4 linked regions of the Oryctolagus cuniculus genome follow. The protein of the gene in region 1 binds, or shares a complex with, the protein of each later gene. Links are inferred from orthologs where the notes say so. Each region holds a gene or a part of one and is shown in the gene's direction. Other genes may lie near its edges. The genes, in order: AXIN1, GSK3B, DVL2 and SIAH1.

Region 1 (3,983 bases):
TCCTGACTGTGTCATGATCTAGCAAAGTCTGCGTGTCCCTTGTGGGCGCAGCACCCAAAACTCGCAGTTCCCCGGCCTCCAAGGGGCTGAGTGCTTGGTGTTGCTCTAGAGTTGTCCTGTGAGTTGCATGGTTCCTTAGCAGTGCAGTTGCATTTGCCTTTCATTTTTTTCTAAATCGTTTCTGTCCCGGAGGTCCCTGGGTACCGTTTGCTGTCAGGAGGGCATTTCCTGGGCAGACATGGCCTGGTGTCCTGTGTCAGAGCGTCTGCTTGTTCCCAGCTCCAGTTCTGATTCCAGCTTCCTGTCTTCGCAGACGCTGGGAGGTAGCAAGTGTTGTGCCAGGTTGTGTCCTTCCGTCCATGTGGGAGACTGGATTGAATCCCCAGCTTCTGGCTTCAGCCGGGCCCCGGCCCCGGCCCCGCCGTTGTGGGCGTTTGAGGAGTGAATCAGCAGAGGGGAGCCCTCTGCCTGCTTGTCCCTCTGCCTCTTGAGTGCGTCTTTTAGGAGAGAGGCCGCGTGGGGAAGGCTGCTCTGTGCGTGGGGGGTGTTTTCCATCCCCGGGTTCGTGGTGCTGAAGGTGACCCCCGGTCGGCTGCTCCTGCGGTCTGTTCGCACGTGCTGCACGGCCCCCGTGTGTGAGGTGAAACAGGAGGCAGGAACCCTGGCTGTGGGCCTGGCCGGTGTGGGAGCCAGAGCGGCCTCCCCGCAGTGGGTGTCGGGGCTCCCCCTCTCATCTGCGTGTCGTCTGACTGGGGTGACTGTCCCGGGTGTGTGAGGGACCAGCTCTCACCTGAAAGCCCCCCCCCCCCCCCCACCGGCCTTCCTGCCCTCCTGCTCACTCAGCTCTTCGGCCCGCTCGGAGGGCCTCTGCGGTGCTCAGAGTGCTGCTGGAGGCAGTGCGTTCTCTGTGCTCTGGGTGCTCCCTTGGCATGAGAAGCGTTCCTGTGGTTGTAGGAGTCTGCAGGGATTGTTTTGATGTGGAGCAAACCTTGCGGCCAAAATGTGTCTCCGTTTCAACTGTACACGGACTTTCTGGCTTTGGGTCATCGCCAGTCTCGTCTGGAGGGAGCCCCTCGGCCGTGTGTGCGGGGGCCCACCTTTTCCTAACCCGCGTCCTCTCTGGTTCCCGCAGGACGGCCTGACTCACCGCGAGCTGCGAGCACGGATGCTTTAGGGGGCGGCGCTCGCTGTCGCTTGCCGCACAGAGTCCCACGATGAGCGTCCAGGAGCAGGGTTTCCCCCTGGACCTCGGAGCAAGTTTCACCGAAGATGCCCCCCGGCCCCCGGTGCCTGGGGAGGAGGGAGAACTGGTGTCCACAGACCCGAGGCCCGCCAGCCACAGCTTCTGCTCCGGCAAAGCTGCTGGCGTTAAAGCTGAGACTTCGACGGCTACTCCAAGGCGCTCGGATCTGGACCTGGGGTATGAGCCCGAGGGCAGTGCGTCTCCCACGCCGCCATACTTGAAGTGGGCCGAGTCCCTGCACTCCCTGCTGGACGATCAAGACGGGATCAGCCTGTTCAGGACTTTCCTCAAGCAGGAGGGCTGTGCTGACCTTCTGGACTTCTGGTTTGCCTGCAGTGGCTTCAGGAAGCTGGAGCCCTGCGATGCGAATGAGGAGAAGAGGCTGAAGCTGGCTAGAGCCATCTACCGCAAGTACATCCTGGACAGCACTGGCATCGTGTCCAGGCACACCAAGCCGGCCACCAAGAGCTTCATCAAGGACTGCATCGTGAGGCAGCAGGTCGACCCCGCCATGTTCGACCAGGCCCAGACGGAGATCCAGGCCACCATGGAGGAGAACACCTACCCCTCCTTCCTCAAGTCTGACATTTATTTGGAGTACACGAGGACAGGCTCGGAGAGCCCAAAGGTCTGTAGTGACCAGAGCTCTGGGTCAGGCACAGGGAAGGGCCTGTCTGGATACCTGCCCACTCTGAATGAAGACGAGGAGTGGAAGTGTGACCAGGACACGGACGAGGAGGAAGCGCGGGACGCGGCGCCTCCCAGCAGGCTCACCCAGAAGCTGCTCATGGAGACGGCTGCCCCGAGGGCCTCCTCAGGGAGACGGTACAGCGAAGGCAGAGAGTTCAGGTGAGTGGGCACCAGGTGTCCCTTTTCGGTCCTCGCCTGAGACCTGGAGAGCGGGCAAGGGCAAGGTGTGGGCGACCAGTGGGCTGAGTGCCCGGCTGCCCTTGGGGCTGACTTAGGACTCTGATTCTGACGCGTGGTACTTGCACGTTCAGTAGCGGTTTTTATGGTCGTGTTGTCCAGAACGCCTTGATCAAGAACAGATAAGAAGCCTGGGTGTGGAGGTCGTGAGCACTACTGCTGACACCTGCACTGAGACCCACCGCTCTGAAGTCCTGGGGGCTTACCGGGTGGGTCTCGTGCTTCGGCTTGGTAAAGGGAGGAGTGGCCGTCTGAATGCACTGGTAGCTGGGGAATTCTGGATCATTCCCCGCGATAGTGGCGTGCTGAGGTGCTCCCTAGAGGCCAGGAACAGTGCTGAGACCTTTGTGTGGGGGGTTGCCAGGTCCTCTGAAGACTTCTGCAGCTGTGGCTGGAGCCGCAGGGTCAGATCTCTGCCTGCCTGACATGGCAGTGCTGCTGGGAGGCGCAGAGTTCACAGTACCCAGGGGGTGACCTTGGCTGTTCTCCCATGGGTGAGGGCACCCACGGTGTCTGGACTGTTCCCGCCTGTGTTCTCCCATGGGTGAGGGCACCCACGGGTGTCTGGACTGTCCCCGCCTGTGTTCTCCCATGGGTGAGGGCACCCACGGTGTCTGGACTGTCCCCGCCTGTGTTCTCCCATGGGTGAGGGCACCCACGGTGTCTGGACTGTCCCCGCCTGTGTTCTCCCATGGGTGAGGGCACCCACGGTGTCTGGACTGTCCCCGCCTGTGTTCTCCCATGGGTGAGGGCACCCACGGTGTCTCTGGACTGTCCCCGCCTGTGTTCTCCCATGGGTGAGGGCACCCACGGGTGTCTTTGGACTGTTCCCTCCTGTGTTCTCCCATGGGTGAGGGCACCCGCGGTGTCTGGACTGTTCCCGCCTCTGTTCTCCCATGGGTGAGGGCACCCACGGTGTCTGGACTGTCCCCGCCTGTGTTCTCCCATGGGTGAGGGCACCCACGGTGTCTGGACTGTCCCCGCCTGTGTTCTCCCATGGGTGAGGGCACCCACGGTGTCTGGACTGTCCCCGCCTGTGTTCTCCCATGGGTGAGGGCACCCACGGTGTCTCTGGACTGTTCCCTCCTGTGTTCTCCCATGGGTGAGGGCACCCACGGGTGTCTGGACTGTTCCCTCCTGTGTTCTCCCATGGGTGAGGGCACCCACGGTGTCTGGACTGTTCCCGCCTGTGTTCTCCCATGGGTGAGGGCACCCGCGGTGTCTGGACTGTTCCCGCCTGTGTGGACACCTGGGGCGTCCCCAGTGTTAGAGCTTTGGAACCGCGGCTTTTCTTTTTTCCCGTGACCCTCCGTGATTACAGGGAGCCGTTGGGCTGCTGCTGGTGTGTGTTCCTCCTGGGAGCAGAGTTCTTGCGCTTCCCCCCTGTCCCCAGGAGCTGGCACCTGCGCAGCGTTGACAGCTTGGAGCTTGGGTGGCCCCTGCTGATCTAGACAGAACTCGGAGGACACGCCCCTTAGTGTCGCGGCTGCCCGTGCAGTTGCCGTGCACTGGACCAGCTCTCCTCTCTGCACTGGGACAGAGGAGTCGGCTGCTTTCTGATAAAACAGCACTAAGCATTTCTAAGGTTTAAACTTTTTTTGTTTTGAAGATTTATTTATTTGAAAGTCAGAGATAGAGAGGGAGAGAGAGATCTTCCGTCTGCTGGTTCACTCCTCACGTGTCCACAACTACCAGAACTAGGTGAGCTGAGTCAGGAGCCGGGAGTCTCATCCTGGTCTCCCACATGGGTGCAGGGGCCAAGCACGTGGACCACGTTCCGTGCTTTCCCGCGGGCATTAGCAGAGAGCTGGAT
Region 2 (4,022 bases), on another chromosome or scaffold:
CCGTGATTGGCTTCGCTGGGGGTTCGGCTCCGCCGCCGAAGAGGGCGGGCGTTGGGCTCGGCCGGCGATTCCCAGACGCCTGTTACGCGGGCGGCGGGGCGCGGGGCGGTATAAGGCTGGGTGGGGGAGGAAGGAGGCGGAGGACGAGTAGGAGGCGGGGAGAGGGAGGGGGAGGGGGGAAGGCGCTAGGCGGCTGCGCAGACGGAGCTCCTCACACAGAGCAGCCCCCGACCCGGGCGAATGCGGGTTTGTGCTGCCGCTGCCGCTGCCGCCGCCGCCGCCCGGGCCGAGTGACAAAGGAAGGAAGGAAGCGAGGAGGAGCCGGCCCCGCAGCCGCTGACAGGGCTCCGGACTGGGGGCACAGCACGGACACTTCCTCAGCGGACACGGAGCTGAGGCGCGGGGCGTGAGGGCGGCCGCGCTGGTGCTTTGGACGGGGGAGGGGGCCCCGAGGGAGACGGAAGCGGTTGCCGGGTTCCCATGTCCCCGGCGTATGGGGAGCAGTCGAGGAGCCGCTGCCTGGGGTCTGAAGGGAGCTGCCTCCGCCACCGCCGCCGCCATGGCCGCTGGATCCAGCCGCCGCCTGCAGCTGCTCCTGGCGCAATGAGGAGAGGAGCCGCCGCCGCCGCCCGCCTCTGACTGACTCGCGACGCCGCCGCCCTCCAGGACGCCGGGCCCCCGCCGGATCCCGCCGCTGCCGGAGCCGCAGCGTTTCCCGTCGCATCTCCGAGCCGCCCCCTCCCTCTCCCTCCCTCCTTCCCATCCCCCCTTCTCTTCAAGCGTGAGACTCGTGATCCTTCCGCCGCTTCCCTTCTTCATTGACTCGGAAAAAAATCCCCGAGGAAAATATAAAATCCAAAGTACTTATTTTCAATCAAGTATTTGTCCCCATTTCACGTGATTTTTTTTAAGGAGTCCCCCCTCCCAGGAAAGGGAGGGGAAAGAATTGTGTTTTTTTTTTCCCCTCCCCCAGCCCCAAATCATCTATATGTTAAATATCCGTACGGATCCGTCTTGAAGGAGAATACATCGCTCGTGTTTTTTTTTTTTTTTTTTTTTTTTTTAATATAGCTATACAAAAGAAGTGAAAAGCCAAGAGGACGAAGTCTTTTTTTTTCCTTTCTTGTGGGAGAACTTAATGCTGCATTTATCATTAACCTAACACCCCAATATAAAACAAAAGGAAGAAAAGGAGGAAGGAAGGAAAAGGTGATTCGGGAAGAGAGTGATCATGTCAGGGCGGCCCAGAACCACCTCCTTTGCGGAGAGCTGCAAGCCAGTGCAGCAGCCTTCAGCTTTTGGCAGCATGAAAGTTAGCAGTGAGTATTGATTTTATTTTACACCCCTTCTCCGTCTCACCCCTAAAATAAGCAACCTCGAAGTCCTAGAACCTTAACATACTAGACCTGATGGAACACTCACCAGAGCTAATGGAAAAGAGCAAGACCTGTCTTCAGTCGAGGATGAGGCAGCTCCCTCTTTTCTCCTCCCATAACCCCCTCCCTCGGTCTCATTAACCTTGAGTTCAGAGAGTACGATTTTTATTTCGATGATTCGATTTGAAACGTTTCTTGTGCTTTCCTTGCTACTGATGGTCGCCTTTATCCAGTGCTTGGGTGTTTCCACTTGGAAATTGTGATGGAAGCGTTTGCTTGCCGACCCTTTTGAATAAAGAGGACTAAACGACTCATAAACCATTATGTGCATTTGCAGAGTGTTTGTCTTTTGGAACGAGGGAGGAAATTCTGGTTAGCTCAAGTCTCGGGTTATCACAGCTTTGTGTACTTCATGGAGACATGAAATGTCCCAGTCTCCTAACGTTTCTCTTCGTGCTGGTGTAACTATACAAAGTATTTGTTCTTAACCTGGGGATGAACTTGCTCAGTAACCAGCATTCATGTGTGGAGGTGATCATCGCTCCCTCCCTTTACAAGGGGCTGATGGGAACAGATAAATATCCAGCAGCAGTAGCATCTCCAAATACATTGTCTTGAATTGGATAAGTGGTTTAATCTGTTATCTCTTAACCTTCCTGTTTTGGCATTACCAATCTGCCACCATATAATTTGTTTAATCAAAAGGTAACTTGGAAGGAGGTCCAAGTTTTGATTGAGGCGTATGTTGTCATAATGCCAGATACTAAGTTAAATGTTAATTGTCACTGACTCATTGTCATTTAAGTTCAATTTTGACGTGCTGTTGCATTTGTTACTTGTTAAAATATTCTAGAGTACAGAGGATTCCTTTTTAGGAATACTTAAAATATCCTTGCATCAGTTTTCTTGTAGATAAGATTGAATTTAGTTAGAGGAACATAGATTTAGTCCTTTCCATCATAGTTTTTGCAGAAGGTTGTCCTTCTGGAAATGGTAGGGCTGTCTGGGATGTGGTCTCAGGGTTGTTACCAGACTGTACTTTCACAAAGTCTGTTTTCTTGAGGTGTTTGTTATACTAAGTATCCAGTGATCCCACAGAGCTCTGTTTGTGAAGGGGTTTGTGTGGCAATTAATGGCAGGTTATTTAAATATACTTCCAGATTTTGACAAAAAAAAATGTTTATATTGTTTCCTTATTCTCTGAGAAAGGGGCATGAAGAGGGCAAACTATTTTGTTGCCTAGAGGAGCTAAGAGAACTGAAGAGCCTTAAACAGTAGATTCTGTTATGTGGACTTGATTACATCCTTAAGCAATATAAAATGTTTACTTTTAATTGAACTCAAGATTCCAATCACTTTGGCTTTTGGAACTTGCCTGAAACAGGATAGTCCAAGGTAATAGCTGAATGGGAGATTATTTTTGAGTTAATTTTTTTTTCAGTGACTAGCTAGTAGAGAATGCAGAGTATGTAAAGAGGGAAGCTGATTATGCATCTTTTTAGAGAAGGGTCATGCTTTCTAAGCCCTTCATGGGGTCATTTGAAAGAAGTTTTTTATTCTGGGGGTAATTTTTAGCTATGATGAAGCAAATATTACAATAGCTAATTAAGAGCCTCTTGTGATACTGCAGTGATTGTATGTTTTACATCTTGGTAATAATTAAAAAACACTGAAAGTCAGTTTTAGGAATATAATTATTAGATGTATTTCAGAGATCTATAATGCTAGTGTATAATGCTAAATTCTGGGATTTTATATTTTGTTTCTAGGATTTTCTTTGAAGATGACTCCTTAATTCTTGATGGCATACATGTTGACCAAGAATGGTGTGATTTTTGTAAAGTATGTAGGTTAAAATGTTTGATTTTCTGTTATCATGTCCTTCAACTTAATATTTAAAAAGTTGGAATTTATTGCTGAATATGCATTTTTGATAAGCCTAGCTTTAGGGATATTTAGAAGAAAGGGGAGTCATTAGGCATTTGTTAGGTGCTGGTGTTTTCAGGACCCATGTTCAAAAGAGATACATATGAAATTATAGTCCTTGGCTTCAAAAAAAGCTGGTCACTTAGTAGTAGAGGCAATTTATGGGAAAAACAATGAAAACAATGGCATTACGACTGCAAGGCAAAATACAAATTGAATCCTTTGTTCAGAGGGACAAAGAATAAAGGGGTGAGACATGCATTGGAGGGAGAAGGCTTCCTGTAGAGAAGGTGTGCTTTTAAGACAGGTGTTAAAGAAGGCTGTGTCTTGAATTGGTGGAGAAGCATGAAAGATTCTAGGTGAAAGGACTCCAGGCACAGAGATGGTGAGTTTTGTAGGAGAGGCAATAAATAAGCTGGTAAATCTGAATTATAAAAGCCTAAGTAGGAAAATAACAGGTAAAATTTGAGAAATATTGGAAGGATAGCTGACAGAGGGCAAGGGGTCTGAAAAAGTTTGACATTCATGAGAGCTCTGAACAGTTTTTTTTTTTTATAAACTTTATTTATTTTAATTTTATTGGAAAGGCAGAGAGACAGATCTTCTCATCTGCTGCTTCACTCCACAAATGGTCACAACAGCCAGGGCTGGACCAGGCCTAAGGCAGGAGCTGGAACTCAGTCTGAGTCTTCCACTTGGGTGGTAGAAACCCAAGTCCTT
Region 3 (4,120 bases), on another chromosome or scaffold:
GGCAGCGGGGACGGTGGGGTGCGGGGTGTTTGGATCCAAGAGCACAGGCAGGACATCCAGCAAACCTTCTTTCCCCAGGTGATGACTCATGGGACCTGATCACGTGTTACTGCCGGAAGCCCTTCGCAGGGCGGCCCATGATCGAGTGCAGCCTATGTGGGACGTGGATCCACCTCTCCTGTGCTAAGATTAAGAAGACCAATGTCCCTGACTTCTTTTATTGCCAGAAATGCAAGGAACTGCGGCCTGAGGCGCGGCGGTTAGGGGGGCTTCCCAAATCTGGAGAGCCCTGACACTGCCAACTCCAGGCTGGAACTGGCAAGTGACGATTCGGGAACTGAGCCTCGGGGGCTTCAGCCCATCCCCTGGAGTCTGGATGTGGTCCCCGCTTCAAGGCAGGAACGCCCAAGGCAGACTTCGGAAATGAGTCTCACGGTCCCTCCCTCCCCTCCCTCCCCAGCCTGTGGACTGGAGTGGACGTTGCGTTGGGCGTGGGAGGCTGTCGGGGGCCCCGGATGCAGCATCTTGGACCTGCCAGGGTTGGAATTGGGATGGACTGGGACAGCTGTCTATAAACTCTAGTGTAAATATAGCATTCCCCTCCCTCATCTTTTATTTTACTCCCAATTTATTTTCTTCTACACCGGTTGTATTTTTAATGTTGGACTTCCTCTTTCGAGCGTGGCGGCTCAGAGGTGGAGTGAGCCTGGCCAAGCGAGCAAGGAGAGCGGCAAGGTGACGGTCCTCACGCACCTCTTGTTTTTACTACTGGCCAGCCGTTTGTACAGACAGCCTGCGTGTTGTAAATAAAGCAGAGTGGGCTCTTTGTGTTTCTAGCCCTCCCTGACTGTCCTGCTTGGGGGGAGGCTCTGGGGGAGCTGGCCGCAGGGCACAAACCCACCTCGGCGTCCGGGCCTTCCCGCGCCGGGACACAACCCCAGGGGCTCCGTCGGCTTCTTCCCTCCACGCGCGCCCGCGGTCCCGCTGCTCCTGCACGGACGGTCGTGCGCAGTCGCTTCGCGTTCCCGCCCGGACGGCGCAGGGCGCCCCCCACCCCGAAGACGGAGGTCCCCAGGACACGGTGCCAGCCGGGAGGACCTCCGGTGGGGGATACGCTCGGGGGCGGAGTGGGTCGGGGCTGGGAGACCGTTGCTGAAGGCAGCGGTCACGTGGAGGGAGCGCTGGGAGGAGCCGAGTAGTCACGTGATGGCGGAGGGGTCACGTGGCGAAGGGCGGTGCAGGGAGCGCGAGGTGGGCGGGCTCGGGCCACGTGACATGAGGCGAGGTGGGCGGGGCCCTGGAGGGCGCTCGCGACGTCGGCGGCGGTGGCGCGCGGCGGCTGAGTGCGCCGCTCCGGGGCGCGTCGCGCGGCCCGCCACCCTGCCGCACCCCGCCGCCTCCCCGCTGCCCCACGCCCACACTGGCTCTGTCGCGTCCGCGCTCCGGTCGGGGTTCGAGTGTGCGCAGGCGCGGCGGGCCGCAGATAGCCCCACTGGGTGGGCGGCGGAGCCCGGGAGCGCGCGGGCGAGACCATGGCGGGCAGCAGCACGGGGGGCGGAGGCGTCGGGGAGACGAAGGTGATTTACCACCTGGATGAGGAGGAGACTCCCTACCTGGTGAAGATCCCAGTCCCCGCCGAGCGCATCACCCTTGGAGACTTCAAGAGCGTTCTGCAGCGGCCCGCGGGTGCTAAGTACTTTTTCAAGTCCATGGATCAGGATTTCGGGTGAGCGCGAGGCCTAGCCTGGGACTGACGGGGGCTGTACCCGCACGGATGGGGCGTTCTGCAGGGGGCACGGGTCTGCTCTGGGTTACACGGGTTTTCTGGCCTTCAGTGGATCGGATTGTGCCACACTGAGGCAGAGTGGCCGTCCCAGGACGGACAAGGTTATGCCTGGACAGATGGATGCACACGGAGCGATAAAGTGGAGAAGATTGGGCCATATGGAATAGGTGGGGGCGCGCAGGTTGGTTTTGGGGTGGTCGGGACTGAGCGTTTTCCTGTAGCACACAGCTTGTGTGGAGACAGCCTGCAGTCTCTTGACATAGCCGGGCTTGTGTTGGCGGCAGTTGGAACGTTGTGGCAGAGACAGGATTGTTTGGGGACTCCATGGAGTGTATGCATGCTAATGCAAAAAAAAAAAAAAAAAAAAAGTTGCGGTGTTCTAGGCTGCCTTGGAGTGGGCTACTGGACGGGCTGGGGTCATTCTGGTCTCTTGGTTGATCCTAACCTAATAACTCTTCTTCGGCACGCATCGGGGCACTTAGTACAGGGCAGATAAGGCTGTTGGGGCTTTTGCTAATACAGACAGCTGTATTGGGATAGTCTAGTCTATATTGGTGCAGACAGCTGCATGCAGGGACGTTGTAGGCTGTGCTAGAATAGATTGGGCTATCCTGGGGTAATTTGGGGATTCCTGGACTTGACTGGGACTGTAAATAACATATTCGAAGCCCTTTTGTTTTTCTCACTTTGGGGAATGACCACTCTTGTTTTGACTGCTCAGTTGTTTCACTGGCTGGCTAGATTGTGTTGATGGCTTGGATTTTAGGGGGACGGAACAAACTGGACTCTGCCTAAAAAGGTCGTTCAGCGTGGGGAGAGTGACAGTTGTCTTGGGAGTTATCTTGGGCTTAAATCAAAGCTCTTGGATTGGTCAGCAGTGTAATCTTGGGCAATTTCATTTACCTTTGTGCGTTGATTTTTCTCACATTTGAGATAATCACAGAGTGAAATGCTTAGTTCCCGCGCTTGGCACATGGGAAACTCTTGGGGCGTGGTCATCGTTGTCCTTGGCATTGAGGCCCACAGGTCCACAAACTCGGTTGTGGTGATACAGAATAGCCTGCCGTGGAGTGGGTTGAGCTGTGCCAAGATGGGTTATATTGGGAGAACACTAATTACACTGAAACAGATTGGTAGTGGCTGGGCCCTGTTGTCACATAACTAGCAAATGGATTCAGTTGGTGTATATACACACTCCCAGAGGCATATTAGGCTAAAGGGTTAATCAGACAAGATGTTCTGATTTGGGGAGGGGAGAGGGTGTGTTTGTGAGACAGAGGAGAAACCAGAGAATCTATTGGTTTGTGTGTTTTGTTTGTTTAGTCAACAAGTGTTAATGCTGCGTGGTCAGGGCGTGGTGTACAACAGAATGGGTGCTGCTGATTGCAAGGGGTGGTTGAGAAGAAAGGGGGGCAAGTCCAGTCCACTACAGGGAACACAGGGGAGCTGGTGGGGCTTTGGGGTCTTGAGACCCAGCATGTTGTTGAGAGCAGAGTTCTTCCAGGGGAGGCACAGGGGAACGGGAAGCCTGGCTTCCTCTCTTCTTCCCAGCTCTCAGCCTAAGGAGATGCTGTTGGTTCCTCTAATGGGCTTTTGTCCCCTGACAAAGACAGCACATCTGGACCACTCTCTGGAAGTGGATTAGAAAAAACTAAAGGGAAGTGGGAGAGTAGAAGCTTGTATGAGGTTGGGGAAGGTGTGTACGGAACAGGGCTGGGTTTGGGGACGGCTACCAGCAAGGCTCACTGGCAACCAGGTAACCACAGGGGTTGGCCTTCCAGTCATGCTGCAGGAAGTCTTTGGAGCAGCATTGCCCCTGAGGGCCAGCTGGGGCGAGCAGGCGAAACGTGGTGGGAGTGGGGTTTGGAGGTTGTTTCCCTAGGAGAGAGGGGGAACGAGGCAGGGGGTGGCCGGCATCCTTGAGCTGGGTGAAGACGGAGAAGCTGGCGGCGGGGGTGGCTGACCCAGCCTCGCTGACCTCGTCCTGTCTCCCGGCAGGGTGGTGAAGGAAGAAATTTCAGATGACAATGCCCGCCTGCCCTGCTTCAACGGAAGGGTGGTATCCTGGGTAAGGGCCCATTCCCTCTGGGTTCCCAGGCTGCTCCCAGCCTCATCTGTCTGTAGCCTCTCCCTGCCCAGTCATTGCCCTGGCCCTTTGCCTCCCTCCCTGTTTGGAGAGCCAGTGGGAGCTCCTCGGCTTTCTTCTGGAGCCTCTGCCATGAGGGGGCTTCAAAAACGTTCATGGGAAATGCATAGTATGAGAAAAGGATGCGTGGGCTTCAAAACAGGGTGCGTGGGCATGCGTCAAAATAAAGTTATTATTACTTTTTTTTT
Region 4 (4,221 bases), on another chromosome or scaffold:
CTTCTTTTGCAATGCCTTTTTTCCTAGCTGAAGTGAGACATTTATGAGATTTATCGATGTTGGTGCCTCCCCAGATTGTATATAGCCCATGAATGGGGGAGGGGCCGCTGTGTTCTCAGAACCTAGCATGGTGCCTGGTATTTGGTAGAATGAATGAATGAGAGCAAAACAGGCCACCCCACTTGGTGACAGAACATCTCCGAGCAGATGAAAGCAGCGACCAGTAACTGCTTGGAGGGACCGGACTCACCCACCTGGACCCCTGACTTGCCGGCTTTGGGGACCAGCTCCCTCAAGAAACGCTGTGTGGGTGTTATGTGCTCCTGGTCCCAGAGGGAGCGAGCAGCCAGTCAGCGCAATACTGGGCGGGGAACACGAGCAGAACTCAGCACAGGTGCAGGCCACACGTTGGTGCAGGGCACTGGAGTTCGCGTGCCTTTGGCTGGGCAGCGCTGGCACGGAAACCCGCCCCCGAGAGAGGCTTGCCCCGACGATGGCGACCGTGGGCCAGTCCCTGGCGCCTCAAACCCCGCACGAAAAGTCCCGTTTCCTACAGACTTCGCACGGAGAGCCAATCGGGATTTGTACACGTTTCAGACTTATTGCACCCACCAGAGCCTTGCAAATGACGCTTTCCTTACTGCTTTATGTGAGGAGGAGGAGGAATGCAGAGGCCCCCACAGGGGACTTCGCCGCTGCGTGAGAACGCCTCCGCTGAGACACGGAAGGGCGGCCCACACCCAGGGCCAAGGCGTGGACCTCGTCCCCTGGAGGGTGGGGTCCCGGCGGGTGGCCGTATGCTTTCCCCGTGGAGGCGCTGCGCGAAACCCGCACACAAAACAGAAGGAGCCATAAATAGCAGCAGGCAGCCCTGCCAGGGGCGGCAGCCAGCCCCGGGCTAGCATTCCGGCGGGGCGCGGGACGACCCCTCGGGCCCTGGAACAAAGCCCCGCGGGGGTGGGCGCGGAACGGGTGCCCCGCACCAGCCGCCCGTGAGCCCGTCTTTCGCCCGGCCGGTGGCGGCGGAGAGCGTGACGCGACGGGGCGTGTGTCGGGCGTTCAGCGCGCAGCTCAGCGCTGGTAACGGAGGAGCCGCGGCGCCGGCTGCCACCCCGCGAGCCCTGCACGCCGAGGCCCGCGCGCGCAGCTGCCGGTCGCGCCGGCGCCTCTGCGCCTGCGCGCCCGCGGAAGCCCCGCCCCCTCCGGGCTCCCAGCGCGCGGGGCCGCGCCTCCTCATGGCGGCCGCCGCAGTGTGTGGTATTTAGCGGGGGCGCGCGGCGCGCTCGAGGACGCGCGAAACGGCGGCGGCGGCGGCGGCCAGGGGGGGAGCCGGGGCGGCCGTTGCGGGGCGCGCTCTCGAGCGGTGGCGGCGGTGGCGGCGGCGGCGGCGGCGGCGGCGGCGGCGGCCCAGGGTGTCCGGTGTGTCTCGGCGCTGGGAAGAGACGGTGGCGCTGCCCGCGGTGGCGGGGGTTGGCGACGGAGCGCGTTTGAGCCAGGACTGGGGTCCGAGGCGCGCTCTCCGCCCACAGGTAAGTGGGGCCCGGCCTGGAGGGAGGAGCCGGCGGCGAGGGGCTCTCCGGGAGGAGGGTTCCCGGGCCCGATAATGGCGGCGGGCGGCGGGGCCGGGGTGCGGGCGGCCCCCGGCGCCGCGGCGTCTTTGTCTCGGCCGGAGCCGGGCCGCTGGGCCGAGCGCCGCCCCCCGCCCCTCCCCTGCCCGCCGTCGCCGCGGCCGCGGCCGCCGCGCCGAGCCGGCTCCCCCCGCCCCCGGCGCCCGGGCCGTCCCGGTGGGGCCGCGGCGGGGGTCGGTCCGGGGGAGGCGCCCCGGCTGGGCCCCCGCGCGCCGGGGAGGCGGGCCCGGCCGGGGGAGGCGCCCGGCGCGCCCAGCGCCCTCGTGCCGGCCTTTGTTGTGGAGGGTCCCGGGGTGTGCGGCCAACATGGCGGAGGTCAGCTGAGTGCGGGCAGCGGCCAGCCCTGCCCTCCGGCCCCTCCCCGCGGCGCGCCGGGCCGCTCGGCCGTCCTTGGCCTCGGCTCGGTGCGCCCGACCCCGGCGGGAGCCGTCGCCGATGGTTCTGCGCGCTTCCTCTGGCTCTGGCCCGAGGCTTCGTCGTGCAGTGGGAAGAATGCAGCCTCCTCCCTTGTTTACGTCGTTGGAGAGGGGAGCGCCCGGCCAGCCGGCCGGGGCAGCGCCAGCTTTTCAGTGCAGACCTTGTTTTCCCTCGGCTTCACGTGCTGCGTAGTTGCAGGTCCCTCCTTGACTCTGCCGGGCTTATAACTTAGGGAAGCGGGTACCCGGCCACAGCGATGCATAGGTTTTTTCTTTGCCGCCTGCCCGCTCCTGGAAGAATGTGTTTGCGCTGACATTCGGAAAAGTCCAGCTGGCGTGCTGGGAAAATCAGATTGAGTGGTTGATGGTTGTAGTCACAGAAGGCGTGCACATGGATGTAGGACCGTGGTCTGCCTGTTTCCGGCAGTCGAACCTTGACCATTGCGTGATAAGCGGCTGTCAAGAGTACATTCTTAACTCTTCTCCGCAGTTGAGTGTCTGGGATACAGACTTTGTAGTCCGACTCTGCCTGCTTGGGTTCCAGTCGTGCTCCACCGGTTTCTGACCTTGGGCGATATGCCTAATCCCTCAGTGCTACTTTTTTCTTACCTGCAACTGGGAGTCATGACAGCGCTTACCTGGGGCATGTGTTGAGAGTTGTTGGGAGAGGGTACCTGGTGGGGTGATCCTTAGCTGAGCACTTAGTGTGGTGGCAGGTCCATAGCAAGGGCTCTGCACACACTCACCGCTAAGGTTTAATAACAAACAAGGTTATCTTGGCAGCGTGGATGTGTTGGAAGTGCCTTGACCGGAGTTGGGGATTCATGCTATAACTCATCAGCGCTTGGGTTTTTCTTCTGCTGTATTTCGCTGTCAAAAAGGAAAAGAAGAGGTTTAGATGGTAAATTGACAGGCCCTCTGGGACTTGACGTTTTGGGAATTTCTATGCTAAGGCATTTTGAACGACTAGATCTTTTGTGGTCTGCGATTTAACCAAGTGGATCAAAATGTGATTTCCACTGGGCAATTTTCGATTTAAGGATTGATTTACTTTCAAGGGCTTGAGTTAACTGACTTGGCAAACTGGGGCACCGAGTTCCTTTAACTGAGTGTTAGGTGTCTGTGGTGTCACCATCTCTTTTAGAAGTTACTGAGGAGCACAGTGCAATTCGGTGACACATGTAACGGTCCGGTAGCCTCATCAGGGAGATTCTGCTTCCGGGTCCGATGGAGAGGACTGCCGATAGCGCTGAGAGAACTCTGATGGATGCCCAGACTGAGTGCACGCCCAGATTGCTTGTGTTAGGTTTTCATGGAAAATGTAAACAGAGAGACTTTGGTATCGAGAAAGGTTATTTTTTCCTCAAAGTATACTTTGTCAAAATTTTTTTCTTTATGTGTATCATAAGATTACATTAAATGATCCTTTTTGGCACATTTCCAGCACAATTCAGTAACATTTAATAATTCTTTAAACAGAAATAGAGTGTAATTAAAGATAAAAACTATTTTTCTTAAGATTTATTTATTTGAAAGGCAGAGTTTCAGAGAGGAGAGACGGAGAGAGAGGTCTTCCATCCCCAGGTCTGCTCCCCAGATGGCTGCAACAGCTGGGGCAGGACTTAGCCAAAGCCAGGAGTCAGGAGCTTGCTCAAGGTCTTCCATGTGGGTGCAAGGGCCCAAGCACTTGGGCCATCTTCCACTGTTTTCCCAGGCTCATTAGCAGGGAGCTGGATCCGAATTGGAGCAGACAGGACACAAACTAATGCTCATAGGGCTGCTTAACCTTTTATGCCACAATGCTGGCCCTGTATTTTTAAAGCTAAGTGTCTCATGGGGGCTGGCGCTGTGGTACAGCAGGTTAACGCCCTGGCCTGAAGCGCTGGCATCCCATATGGGCGCTGGTTCTAGTCCCAGCTGCTCCTCTTCTGATCCAGCTCTCTGCTATGGCCTGGGAAAGCAGTAGAAGATGGCCCAAGTGCTTGGGCCCCTGCACCCACGTGGGAGACCTGGAAGAAGTTCCTGCCTCCTGGCTTTGGATCAGCTCAGCTCTGGCCGTTGTGGCCAACTGGGGGGTGAACCAGCGGGTGGAAGACCTCTCTCTACCTCTCTCTGTAACTCTTTCAAATAACTAAAATAAATCTTAAAAAAAAAGCTAAGTGTCTCCAAAGTAAAAA

What was found.
Region 2: the proteins of AXIN1 (region 1) and GSK3B are in contact, whole or in part, in a crystal structure (PDB 4B7T), measured with the Homo sapiens proteins. The link is inferred for Oryctolagus cuniculus from reciprocal best matches to the Homo sapiens genes AXIN1 and GSK3B. Residues at the interface, in NP_003493.1 of Homo sapiens: Glu384, Pro385, Gln386, Phe388, Ala389, Glu391, Leu392, Ile393, Arg395, Leu396, Glu397, Val399, Gln400; in NP_001139628.1 of Homo sapiens: Ile228, Phe229, Val263, Asp264, Leu266, Val267, Ile270, Lys271, Asn287, Tyr288, Phe291, Lys292, Phe293, Pro294, Gln295, Ile296.
Region 3: the proteins of AXIN1 (region 1) and DVL2 are in contact, whole or in part, in a crystal structure (PDB 6JCK), measured with the Homo sapiens proteins. The link is inferred for Oryctolagus cuniculus from reciprocal best matches to the Homo sapiens genes AXIN1 and DVL2. Residues at the interface, in NP_003493.1 of Homo sapiens: Arg821, Tyr823, Lys825, Lys826, Glu830, Phe831, Val835, Val836, Phe837, Glu838, Glu839, Lys857, Glu859, Asp862; in NP_004413.1 of Homo sapiens: Lys15, Ile17, Tyr18, Glu23, Glu24, Thr25, Pro26, Tyr27, Leu28, Val29, Val46, Leu47, Gln48, Arg49, Pro50, Phe81, Arg84.
Region 4: the proteins of AXIN1 (region 1) and SIAH1 are in contact, whole or in part, in a crystal structure (PDB 5WZZ), measured with the Homo sapiens proteins. The link is inferred for Oryctolagus cuniculus from reciprocal best matches to the Homo sapiens genes AXIN1 and SIAH1. Residues at the interface, in NP_003493.1 of Homo sapiens: Pro378, Lys379, Glu380, Val381, Arg382, Val383, Glu384, Pro385, Gln386, Lys387; in NP_003022.3 of Homo sapiens: Cys130, Pro131, Ser154, Thr156, Leu158, Asp162, Ile163, Val164, Phe165, Leu166, Ala167, Thr168, Asp169, Val176, Asp177, Trp178, Val179, Met180, Asn272.

The regions. Positions count from the first base shown.
Region 1 is NC_091450.1:34,296,380-34,300,362, forward strand, and holds the start of AXIN1 (axin-1), read left to right. Parts: upstream 1-1,143; 5' UTR 1,144-1,214; coding exon 1,215-2,092; intron 2,093-3,983. UniProt on the Homo sapiens protein: Component of the beta-catenin destruction complex required for regulating CTNNB1 levels through phosphorylation and ubiquitination, and modulating Wnt-signaling.
Region 2 is NC_091435.1:76,547,979-76,552,000, reverse strand, and holds the start of GSK3B (glycogen synthase kinase-3 beta), read left to right. Parts: upstream 1-1,180; 5' UTR 1,181-1,231; coding exon 1,232-1,319; intron 1,320-4,022. Other genes in the region: transcription factor SOX-4, read right to left, coding at 1-819. UniProt on the Homo sapiens protein: Constitutively active protein kinase that acts as a negative regulator in the hormonal control of glucose homeostasis, Wnt signaling and regulation of transcription factors and microtubules, by phosphorylating and inactivating glycogen synthase (GYS1 or GYS2), EIF2B, CTNNB1/beta-catenin, APC, AXIN1, DPYSL2/CRMP2, JUN, NFATC1/NFATC, MAPT/TAU and MACF1.
Region 3 is NC_091448.1:51,839,491-51,843,610, reverse strand, and holds the start of DVL2 (segment polarity protein dishevelled homolog DVL-2), read left to right. Parts: upstream 1-1,311; 5' UTR 1,312-1,532; coding exon 1,533-1,726; intron 1,727-3,784; coding exon 3,785-3,854; intron 3,855-4,120. Other genes in the region: PHF23 (PHD finger protein 23), read left to right, coding at 79-293.
Region 4 is NC_091449.1:32,126,254-32,130,474, reverse strand, and holds the start of SIAH1 (E3 ubiquitin-protein ligase SIAH1), read left to right. Parts: upstream 1-1,412; 5' UTR 1,413-1,529; intron 1,530-2,109; exon of another isoform or gene 2,110-2,533; intron 2,534-4,221. UniProt on the Homo sapiens protein: E3 ubiquitin-protein ligase that mediates ubiquitination and subsequent proteasomal degradation of target proteins.